Xenopus tropicalis: one gene and its partner. The protein of the gene in region 2 binds, or shares a complex with, the protein of the main gene of each other region. Links are inferred from orthologs where the notes say so. Each region holds a gene or a part of one and is shown on either strand. Other genes may lie near its edges.

Region 1 (6,543 bases), on a different chromosome or scaffold from region 2:
ACTACTCCTACCCCAGTACTCTCCCCTTCCCACTAAGGCCTAATACTGATCCAACTACACCTACCCCAGTACTCTCCCCTTCCCACTAAGGCCTAGTACTGATCCAACTACACCTACCCCAGTACTCTCCCCTTCCCACTGAGGCCTAGTACTGATCCAACTACCCCTACCCTGTACTCTCTCCTTCCCACTAAGGCCTAGTACTGATCCAACTACACCTACCCCAGTACTCCCCCCTTCCCACTAAGGCCTAGTACTGATCCAACTACACCTACCCCAGTACTCTCACCTTACTACTTCCCACTGGGGCCTAGTACTGATTCAGCTACTTCCCTCCCAGTACTCTCCCTTCTCTACTTCTTAGAGGTTTCTTTTCCAACCTCCCCCCCCCCCAGTACTCTCCCCTTACTACTTTCCACTGAGGTCTCTCTTTCAACTACTCCCCCCCAGTACACTCTCCTTACTACTTCCCACTGGGGCCTAGTACTGATTCAGCTACTCCCCCCCAGTACACTCTCCTTACTACTTCCCACTGGGGCCTAGTACTGATTCAGCTACTCCCCCCCCCAGTACACTCTCCTTACTACTTCCCACTGGGGCCTAGTACTGATTCAGCTACTCCCCCCCCAGTACACTCTCCTTACTACTTCCCACTGGGGCCTAGTACTGATCTAAGCACTTCTCTGCTGGTTTTTCTTTCACTGCCTTCCTCCCAGTGCGCTGCTGTTTCAGTATTTGCATTCCACTAGTTCAAGCTCCTCATCCTGCCGCTTACACTTAGTATCAACTTATTCCAACAGCTTCCTCCTTATAACTCTGTCCCCTGACTGCTTCATAGGAGAATCTTCTTCCATCAAAACCTCCTCAAGAAGAAGATCTTCATCTGCCATCTGATCTCCATCTGCTTCTCCCCACCATCTCCTTGATCCAACTGCTTCTTCCCTGAGAGACCTTCATCTCCTTCTTCCCACCATCTCCTTGATCCAACTGCTTCTTCCCTGAGAGACCTTCATCTCCTTCTTCCCACCATCTCCTTGATCCAACTGCTTCTTCCCTGAGAGACCTTCATCTCCTTCTTCCCACCATCTCCTTGATCCAACTGCTTCTTCCCTGAGAGACCTTCATCTCCTTCTTCCCACCATCTCCTTGATCCAACTGCTTCTTCCCCGAGAGACCTTGATCTCCTTCTTCCCACCATCTCCTTGATCCAACTGCTTCTTCCCTGAGAGACCTTCATCTCCTTCTTCCTACCATCTCCTTGATCCAACTGCTTCTTCCCTGAGAGACCTTCATCTGCTTCTCCCCACCATCTCCTTGATCCAACTGCTTCTTCCCTGAGAGACCTTCATCTGCTTCTTCCCACCATCTCCTTGATCCAACTGCTTCTTCCCAGAGAGACCTTCATCTGCTTCTCCCACGATCTCCTTGATCCAACGCTTCTTCCCTGAGAGACCTTCATCTGCTTCTCCCCAGTATCTCTTTCTATCGATCTATCAGTTTACCTTACTACACCTTCTCTCTCCCTCCTGCTGTTCTGATCAATCAGTAATCGGAACAATAGAAAGGCATTCGTAAGCCAGCCATACACGCACAGATGTTATCATCTCGTACAATATTCGGTGCGTGTATGGTGACTTGTAGAGGCGACCAATATCCCAGAGGCTGTGGATATCGGTTGAAGGCGCCATTGAAGGCGCCCGAGCAAAATCTACGTTCAGGGCTGAAGGAGGTAGAATTTCTATTGTTTCTACCTCCTTATCTGATGATTCAGCCCTGAACTTCAGCTACGTGTATGGCCACCTTTACTTGTATGCTCTCCATCCATTTGGCTTAGGGGCCACTCTTTGGAGAGCGTTCCAGATGGGCCAATGCCTGATTAGAAGATCTAGGCAGTTTGTTATACAGCCCTACACATTTTGGGGAGTGAAAGATAGCTATATCTGTGGGCCCCAGGGTCGGACTGGGGGGGGTGCAGGGCACACCAGGGCTCCCGCCCTAACCCCCCCAACCCCCCACAGGGTCCCCCACCCGACGTCCTCCCCTGAGCTCCCGTAAATTTAACGCCTCAGGGGAGGAACGGTCGGGCAGGGGGAGCGCCGGGATTTGTCCCGGTGTCCCAGCGGCCCAGTCCGACCCTGGTGGGCCCAGATAGTCAAGGGGTATGCACAGGGAGGTGCTGCTTCCCCCGCCCCCTGGAGGGTGGGAAAGAAACAATGTTTCAGGAGCCTAAACCACCTGTATAGAGGATATATAAATCCCTTGTGTAACTTCCCATGCAGTTAATTCCCTCACTGTGGGAAGTAAAGTCATAATGACGTCATTATACCCAGTAATATTCCCAGGGTGCATCAGGCCTGTAGTAAGAAGGTAGCGTGGCCGAGCGGTCTAAGGCGCTGGATTTAGGCTCCAGTCTCTCTGGAGGCGTGGGTTCGAATCCCACCGCTGCCAACTCAGCTTTTTATTTTCCCCCCTGCATCTATGGCTTGATATATTTTCGCTCGAACTGTAACTTCTTTTCGATTAGCCGCCATTGTGGAGGCTTTGCATCTATATATATGTTAGTTTGGGACAGGTTTCATAATCAGGGATGTGTCGTCGCTTTTACGACAAAGCGCTAAAACTTCCAGCTACAATAATGGCGGACTTGCCTTCTGCCCCATGTGACCGGGGCTCAGTAGGTGAATGGTCAGAATCTCCTGAATCCTGCGCGTTTTGGTTAGGACGCTGAGGGGTTGCTAGGCAACGGTAAGCGGCGGGTTTTCGGCTCGGAGATTGGAACGGGTAAGGGTTTTGTTCCAGTAAGTTACTGGTTTAACTGGTCTCTGCCCGGGGAATACTTTGTATGTGAGATATTTAATGGTTAATTTATACAGTATAAGTAGCTATAAAAGTCTGTATATATTATATGAGAGGGTTGCCGGCCTGTATATACAGTAATAGGAGTCAGGGAAGCCTGTATATATTATATGAGAGGGTTGCCGGCCTGTATATACAGTAATAGGAGTCAGGGAAGCCTGTATATATTATATGAGAGGGTTGCCGGCATGTATATACAGTAATAGGAGTCAGGGAAGCCTGTATATATTATATGAGAGGGTTGCCGGCATGTATATACAGTAATAGGAGTCAGGGAAGCCTGTATATATTATATGAGAGGGTTGCCGGCCTGTATATACAGTAATAGGGGTCAGGGAAGCCTGTATATATTATATGAGAGGGTTGCCGGCATGTATATACAGTAATAGGAGTCAGGGAAGCCTGTATATATTATATGAGAGGGTTACCGGCCTGTATATACAGTAATAGGAGTCAGGGAAGCCTGTATATATTATATGAGAGGGTTGCCGGCCTGTATATACAGTAATAGGAGTCAGGGAAGCCTGTATATATTATATGAGAGGGTTACCCGCCTGTATATACAGTAATAGGAGTCAGGGAAGCCTGTATATATTATATGAGAGGGTTGCCGGCCTGTATATACTGTAATAGGAGTCAGGGAAGCCTGGATATATTATATGAGAGGGTTGCCGGCCTGTATATACAGTAATAGGAGTCAGGGAAGCCTGGATATATTATATGAGAGGGTTACCGGCCTGTATATACAGTAATAGGAGTCAGGGAAGCCTGGATATATTATATGAGAGGGTTACCGGCCTGTATATACAGTAATAGGAGTCAGGGAAGCCTGTATATATTATATGAGAGGGTTACCGGCCTGTATATACAGTAATAGGAGTCAGGGAAGCCTGTATATATTATATGAGAGGGTTACCGGCCTGTATATACAGTAATAGGAGTCAGGGAAGCCTGTATATATTATATGAGAGGGTTGCCGGCCTGTATATACAGTAATAGGAGTCAGGGAAGCCTGTATATATTATATGAGAGGGTTACCGGCCTGTATATACAGTAATAGGAGTCAGGGAAGCCTGTATATATTATATGAGAGGGTTGCCGGCCTGTATATACAGTAATAGGAGTCAGGGAAGCCTGGATATATTATATGAGAGGGTTACCGGCCTGTATATACAGTAATAGGAGTCAGGGAAGCCTGTATATATTATATGAGAGGGTCCCTGGCCTGTATATACAGTAATAGGAGTCAGGGAAGCCTGTATATATTATATGAGAGGGTTGCCGGCCTGTATATACAGTAATAGGGGTCAGGGAAGCCTGTATATATTATATGAGAGGGTTGCCGGCATGTATATACAGTAATAGGAGTCAGGGAAGCCTGTATATATTATATGAGAGGGTTACCGGCCTGTATATACAGTAATAGGAGTCAGGGAAGCCTGTATATATTATATGAGAGGGTCCCTGGCCTGTATATACAGTAATAGGAGTCAGGGAAGCCTGTATATATTATATGAGAGGGTTGCCGGCCTGTATATACAGTAATAGGGGTCAGGGAAGCCTGTATATATTATATGAGAGGGTTGCCGGCATGTATATACAGTAATAGGAGTCAGGGAAGCCTGTATATATTATATGAGAGGGTTACCGGCCTGTATATACAGTAATAGGAGTCAGGGAAGCCTGGATATATTATATGAGAGGGTTGCCGGCCTGTATATACAGTAATAGGAGTCAGGGAAGCCTGTATATATTATATGAGAGGGTTACCCGCCTGTATATACAGTAATAGGAGTCAGGGAAGCCTGTATATATTATATGAGAGGGTTGCCGGCCTGTATATACTGTAATAGGAGTCAGGGAAGCCTGGATATATTATATGAGAGGGTTGCCGGCCTGTATATACAGTAATAGGAGTCAGGGAAGCCTGGATATATTATATGAGAGGGTTACCGGCCTGTATATACAGTAATAGGAGTCAGGGAAGCCTGTATATATTATATGAGAGGGTTACCGGCCTGTATATACAGTAATAGGAGTCAGGGAAGCCTGTATATATTATATGAGAAGGTTGCCGGCCTGTATATACAGTAATAGGAGTCAGGGAAGCCTGTATATATTATATGAGAGGGTTACCGGCCTGTATATACAGTAATAGGAGTCAGGGAAGCCTGTATATATTATAAGAGAGGGTTGCCGGCCTGTATATACAGTAATAGGAGTCAGGGAAGCCTGGATATATTATATGAGAGGGTTACCGGCCTGTATATACAGTAATAGGAGTCAGGGAAGCCTGTATATATTATATGAGAGGGTCCCTGGCCTGTATATACAGTAATAGGAGTCAGGGAAGCCTGTATATATTATATGAGAGGGTTGCCGGCCTGTATATACAGTAATAGGGGTCAGGGAAGCCTGTATATATTATATGAGAGGGTCCCTGGCCTGTATTTACAGTAATAGGAGTCAGGGAAGCCTGTATATATTATATGAGAGGGTTACCGGCCTGTATATACAGTAATAGGAGTCAGGGAAGCCTGGATATATTATATGAGAGGGTCCCTGGCCTGTATATACAGTAATAGGAGTCAGGGAAGCCTGTATATATTATATGAGAGGGTTACCGGCCTGTATATACAGTAATAGGAGTCAGGGAAGCCTGTATATATTATATGAGAGGGTCCCTGGCCTGTATATACAGTAATAGGAGTCAGGGAAGCCTGTATATATTATATGAGAGGGTCCCTGGCCTGTATATACAGTAATAGGAGTCAGGGAAGCCTGGATATATTATATGAGAGGGTTACCGGCCTGTATATACAGTAATAGGAGTCAGGGAAGCCTGGATATATTATATGAGAGGGTCCCTGGCCTGTATATACAGTAATAGGAGTCAGGGAAGCCTGTATATATTATATGAGAGGGTCCCTGGCCTGTATATACAGTAATAGGAGTCAGGGAAGCCTGTATATATTATATGAGAGGGTCCCTGGCCTGTATATACAGTAATAGGAGTCAGGGAAGCCTGTATATATTATATGAGAGGGTTACCGGCCTGTATATACAGTAATAGGAGTCAGGGAAGCCTGTATATATTATATGAGAGGGTTACCGGCCTGTATATACAGTAATAGGAGTCAGGGAAGCCTGGATATATTATATGAGAGGGTCCCTGGCCTGTATATACAGTAATAGGAGTCAGGGAAGCCTGTATATATTATATGAGAGGGTTACCGGCCTGTATATACAGTAATAGGAGTCAGGGAAGCCTGTATATATTATATGAGAGGGTCCCTGGCCTGTATATACAGTAATAGGAGTCAGGGAAGCCTGTATATATTATATGAGAGGGTCCCTGGCCTGTATATACAGTAATAGGAGTCAGGGAAGCCTGGATATATTATATGAGAGGGTTACCGGCCTGTATATACAGTAATAGGAGTCAGGGAAGCCTGGATATATTATATGAGAGGGTCCCTGGCCTGTATATACAGTAATAGGAGTCAGGGAAGCCTGGATATATTATATGAGAGGGTTGCCGGCCTGTATATACAGTAATAGGAGTCAGGGAAGCCTGTATATATTATATGAGAGGGTTGCCGGCCTGTATATACAGTAATAGGAGTCAGGGAAGCCTGGATATATTATATGAGAGGGTCCCTGGCCTGTATATACAGTAATAGGAGT
Region 2 (5,922 bases):
TACTTAACATTTCTGGAAAGTATATGAAACCCTAGAAAGGGTAGCATTTCCCTCTTAAGAAGTGTCTAACTGTTTTGATTTTGTCTTCTTTGACTAAAATCATTATAGGGTGTAACAGCAGATGGATGGAGTTGTATTAAATGCCCCAATGGGCTGAACTCAAATGGGAATTGCCTCTGTCCTCCAGGAAACATTTTGGGTAAGTAGGATATTTTGCATTTTAATAAACTGGTGCCTACTTATCCATGCTCTTCTCCAATCCTGTGCTAAGGAGTTTGGTTGACTAAAATTGTAGGTAAAGTTCTCTAATTCCATCCATAAAAAAGATGCATATGCAGCTCCAGAATCCAACTGTACTGCTTGACAGTAGCTATAATGACACAACTTATTTTCATGGAAAAAACATTCAAATGTGCAGTCTTTCTCCGATGGAGATATATAAAGCCAGTGATGAGCTGTAAAAGCAGATTCTTGCACATCTACAGATACCCCATGTACCAGTCAAGATTAATTCAGTGGCTACATGCCAAGGTTTATGCAATCCCTTTCCAATAATGATAAAGTGTTCATTTCCAGAAGATGTGAACAGTTCCAGCGTTCCTTTTCCAGCTAGCATGTTGTGTCCCTCACATGGAGGCATACATGGACAGTTAAAATGCACTTGTCACAAAATCACAGGCAGAGTAATATAGCACATAATTTGTATTTTAGTGGAAAGAGATGTGAATGGCTCCTTGCTGTTAGAAGCAGAATGCATTGACTGCGATGGGACTGAACCTTCCTTCACTGCTGCCAACACCCTAGGAAACAGGTGAGTTTACTTAACCCATATTATTATCAAGAAGTCACAATGTTTTGCTGTCTGTATGATTTCCAGCTTGGTAAGTGGCAAAATGCTGTTAATTGACCCTTAATTGACTTTAATGGTAATCACTTGAAACCATTAAAGTGCACTTGTGGGTACTGTAGTTACTTGTGGGTACTAGCATGTGCAGTGTAAATGTGCTCTAAGAGGCATATTTTTACATTTCTTTGTGCTCTAGGCCCTGCCATGTTAAGTAAAGTGATGCCCAAACAGCTGAAAACAGTCTCAATAAAAATTGACTGTCTATAGAATGTTACAGCATTTGCCAGAATATACAGATTGCCATTGTGTATGTTTGTACCAGTGGTTTGCGCAGTTATTCTACCTGAGTTTGTGTATGTTTTCATTGCTCTAATATTTTGCTCTTTTTGTATGTCTAGGTGTGAACGGTGCCATCACACGGTTATCAACAGGAGTAACTCATGCAGCTGTAACCAGCCAAATATTATGGTAAGAAAGTCATTTAGGGTCATAGCGCAACTGTAACTAGCACTCACTATGTATTAGGGACTTGCCAAATTCAGGTTTCTGTTGAGAATTTGCAGAACCTCAACGCTTTTGCAAGATATTGTTAAATCCCAAGTGCCTGGCTAAACCAAAGCCTGACTGTTAGGCTGAGAGCACACAGAGCATTTGCTCCGCTGCTCTTAGCCTGCAGTTTTTTGCAGACTGAGAGAAGTGAATCTGATCCCTTACACACTTCAGTAAAAATTAATTGACAAGTTCAGCTTCTGCCTCCTCTTGGCTACACAAACTTTTCAAAGTAATAGGCTGTGCGAGAAGGGAGAGGTGAAGGGGGGCGATGGAGAGCAGTTGAGGGGGGCTTTTGTTCCTGGGGGGTTTAGTTCTTCTTTAAAGTCATATGACTTTAGAGCAGTGGGCAATTGAAGGTGACAACTTTCTTATGATGTAATTTTTTTGTGGATTTTGCTCAAATTTGAAAATGTGTCCAGTGAAAAATAGAAGCTCATGCAACATTTTTTTTATTTACTTACATATTTTCTAGACTGGAGGCATATGCTATAATGCAGCGGGGAGTATCCTGTCCAAAGCTCTTCTGACTGTTCATTACAGCCAACTGGTGAGACCCTATATTGTGTTGATGTGTTTGCTTGCAAATTTACATAAAGTAGGAAACCCTGAGAATGTATCTAACCTTTTTTCTTTAAGGGTTTGATATTGCGATCAGAATGGTTTGCCACGCATTTGCAAGCATCGGCTGCAGCTTGTCTGGTAAGATTCTCTTAAATAGCTTTTTTTCTAAAGCTGGCAAGGTTGTCAAACAATTGGATCTTTACTTGATTTGCCCAGTGAAATCGTGGGCCAAATAAGGATGATTTCATTTTTTTTAGTGCAAAGCAATTATCAGATTATAATGGGGCCCTGCAGTGATCTGTCTGGCAACAAGCCTTTATCTTTGTGATGTTTGGCCCTTGCTAGATACATTTGCTTTTTCGAAAATGTGAGTTTTGACAAATTTGGTTTTTTTACCCTTCTCCTGTTTCCCAGAAGAAGCTCATTGAGTCAGATCAGTGACTTTTTTTAATTGTTTCAATTTGATACATAAGTTGATAGTTACTTAGTAGCTGAACTCATGCTAAGCATAAAGCTTAGGTTTTAGAAAACGGATACAAATTAGAAAATGCAAACAAATGGCAAACGTAATTATTTGTGATACAGTGTTTTAATAAATGACTAGACATTTGTGGGTTTAGCGGAAAATAGTTTATTTGTGGTTTCAAAAACCTCTTAAACCACAAAAATAAAAACAAACACAAAAAAAAATCAATGTTGATAAATCTGCCCAAAGTGTTACATTAGATGTAAGACCTTCTACAAAATATAGTTTAACTGAATTGCAGAAGAGCTTGTAACATGGTGCCTTTATTTCTCTTCCGTCCATAGATGTACAGTAATCAAACATCATGCCAAGCTCTGGGGAACATGTGTGTCATGAACATGCATTCTACAAGTATTTCCAGTGCTGACGCTTGCGGTCTGTTCCAGTACATATTTACAAGCACAGCAGGTCTAGGAGTTATCCATTCCCTTTCATACTGGCAAGTGTGTTTTCTTTTTGTTGGTAGAAAAAAAAAAGCACTGCCCACTGGAAAATTTACAAGAGTAAATATCATGTCTTCTACAGGCGAACAAATCTGCCATGGCTCTTCTATGGTGACCAGCCTGGACTGGCTTCCAGGACTCTTGTGTCCTCTCCAGTTCCCACAAGCTATACTTTTAAAGAAAGTGAGGAGGTATGAAAAGGCCACCAAAATTGAGCTGGAGTGAGACACTGGCCCATTACAATGGAAAGCTGAACAGCTTGTTCTAATATTTATGCATGGATGGATTCTTTTGCAGCATTTGAATTACAAATGTATAAGTGATTCAACATTGGTTCTGTGGCACTTTTTGTATCATGGTGGCAATGTAGAAATATACCCTGTATGTGACAGTCCCAGGCAGCCCACAGATACAAATAGGAATCTGATGTGCTTCCTTCCTAGGTAGAAAATACCAAACTGCAGTTTCTAGCGGCTGTGTATGACGTTCGAGGGAATTTTATAAAATGGCAATCATTGGCTGGAGGACTACTGCAGGTATTTACATTTTTATTTTTATGAAAATTTATAGATCAAGAGATATGGGGCCGCAATGTAGTAGATGGTGACATGACACTTCAGAGAAGAACGTTATCATCATCAGTACAGAGCAGTACAATAGATATGTCAGCATTCTTATTCTGTGGTACTAAGCCCAGCTCTGCATTTAAATGTAAGGGAACTGTTCAGTAAGGGATACATTTCCCACCCCAAAACACCAAACTCACCCACTGCACAATTTTTTTTTTTCCTTGCAGTTGTGTCCTGATATTGTGGCCAGGATAGATGCTGCTTTCAGCTTTGGAACAACGTATAAACAAGAAGTAAGCATTAAATATATCTCTAAATACAAGAGCAAATAAATATCCTGTAAATTATATTCTTATAAATAGTACTTAATGATGTCATCAGCTACAATCGGTGCTTAGTGATGTAATTTCTCTCACACGACTCATTGGAACTTGTATATTCTGTGACTTCGGAAAGCCGAAGCGATGCATAAAAACAAAATAATCTATATGTGCTTCATAATTAACAATAATTGAAAGAAAAGGCAAATATATAACTTCATTAAGTTAAACGAGATTAGTCGCTGCCGCTAGAGGAGATTTATCCTCGTCTGTCATTGGCCTTAGTTGGCTTATGTTGAAAAAAAGTGTATTTAGGCATAGTGCCCCTTTAAGCAGTTTTATGTCCTGTTTGTTTAGTGAGATGTTTCTAATTAGGATCCAGCTGAAAGTAAAGAATAAGGAGCTGCCACTTTACCAATGTATCTTCTTTTGGAATGTACTGTAGCAATGGCTTTCAGTGGAAACCAGTTTGGACACCTAATCCTTATTTATACTTGCATGTACAGTACATTGCAACTGGGCAGTATGTGTATTTATGTGTGTGTGTTCCTGTGTGCCCACAAAGAGATACATAACTACACATACACACACAGTATATTTTGCTACCCGTGTTCACTTGGTCATATCATTCCTTTGCAGTGTAGAATTAGTGTTTCTAAGCTCCTGCGTGACCACCCCGAGCCTGTGTTCTATGATGTGTATCTGGCCTACCCAGGGAATGAGAAGCAGCAGAATCTCCTTCCTGTGCCAGTCCTGAACCTGAACCTCCAGTACCATGAAATGTTTGTTAACCAAGGTACATTCTATGGACATTTATATGATTGATGTATGTGATTATACATAAACCAGTTCAATTAGATGGGATCCCTTTAAAGGGATTTTGTCATGATTTTTATGGTGTACTTCTTATTTCTAATTACACTGTTTAAACTGCACATTTTAAAATATGTGTTGTATTTTTTAACCAGTATCAAAATTACATAATATGTAATTTAACAAGGTATAATTTTTTGATCCAAAATTAGCGGCTTACTGTCCCATGGGATGGTGTTGCTTAAAGCCAATGCAGTCCTGATGGTACTGCAGGATGTCTGTGATGCACCAGTGTTATAGACACAAAGATAGCCTAGCAGTCCACATTATACTAGCTTACAGCCAGTTATAGTGTTGATTTGACAACCCTTGGCAAACATTTTTATCACCAATATTACTGTTGTGTCAACCTTGCACTTTGTTTATTTGAATGTGTCTCATATTTTTACAAAAGGCTGGTGTTTTGCCACTTCTCTTTCGGTAGTAGGCAGATAAACAGCACTAGGAATTCCAAACAGTGACACTCTTGGGGGGGGTAGTGGAACTTTTAGTTCAGCTAGGGCTTCAGGTTGGGGCACTATTGGCGTAGAATTTTACTTCCCCTTCACTAAACATAATTTGTCTTGTTACAGGAGACAACATCAACAACTGGCTCTTGACTCGCCGAATCTTCCTGGTGGATACTATTAGTGGGCGAGAAAATTCTCTGGCCGATCCTCCAAGGCTCATTAGAGTGGCTAGCAAAATCACAATCAGGTAGAGTGTAAATTTTAGCACAATAGCACAAATTTTAGCACAAGTTTGTCATGTTATTGCGCATTACATTTTTATAAGCTTGAAGATAGTACAAGAGAGAGTATAAAAAAAAGTATTAGTATCATGGTTAATTTATTTGAATTATTGTTATTATGCTTTATTTGTAGAATGCTTACAAGTTTATGCAGGGCTTTACAGAGACTGCTTACTTATTGCAGAGCCAATTAATTAGCCTACTAACATTCAGACTCTTTTGGATAGTGCTTAGTTCAGAATCAAGATCAGGACACCAGTGTTGGAAGTACATTATTGAATCAAGCACTCTAAAGGTAATTTACTACTGGTACAGCACTAGTGCTTGAGCACTTATTGAACGTCATAGAGCTTCATAAATGAAGCACTTGGGCAAAATGCCTTGTGCCAGGCCGAGCAGGTGCAAGTAGGGGGTGTGGATGCCCATGGACGACCCTTGTGCACCTCTGTTTTAAATAGCAGGCGAAAGATGTACCTAGGAGCATAAGGTTTGCTGTCAGAT

What was found. The genes of interacting proteins can lie anywhere in the genome.
Region 1: tmem67 (region 2) and tmem107 share a complex: the UniProt entries of both Homo sapiens proteins name them as parts of the tectonic-like complex. The link is inferred for Xenopus tropicalis from reciprocal best matches to the Homo sapiens genes TMEM67 and TMEM107.

Annotation. Positions count from the first base shown.
Region 1 is NC_030679.2:144,534,833-144,541,375, reverse strand, and holds the start of tmem107 (transmembrane protein 107), read left to right. Parts: upstream 1-2,674; 5' UTR 2,675-2,781; exon of another isoform or gene 2,782-2,798; intron 2,799-6,543. UniProt on the Homo sapiens protein: Plays a role in cilia formation and embryonic patterning. Requires for normal Sonic hedgehog (Shh) signaling in the neural tube and acts in combination with GLI2 and GLI3 to pattern ventral and intermediate neuronal cell types.
Region 2 is NC_030682.2:127,746,043-127,751,964, forward strand, and holds part of tmem67 (meckelin), read left to right. Parts: intron 1-108; coding exon 109-199; intron 200-711; coding exon 712-811; intron 812-1,245; coding exon 1,246-1,315; intron 1,316-1,871; coding exon 1,872-1,946; intron 1,947-2,035; coding exon 2,036-2,098; intron 2,099-2,770; coding exon 2,771-2,925; intron 2,926-3,011; coding exon 3,012-3,120; intron 3,121-3,372; coding exon 3,373-3,465; intron 3,466-3,725; coding exon 3,726-3,791; intron 3,792-4,457; coding exon 4,458-4,614; intron 4,615-5,263; coding exon 5,264-5,387; intron 5,388-5,922. UniProt on the Homo sapiens protein: Required for ciliary structure and function. Part of the tectonic-like complex which is required for tissue-specific ciliogenesis and may regulate ciliary membrane composition.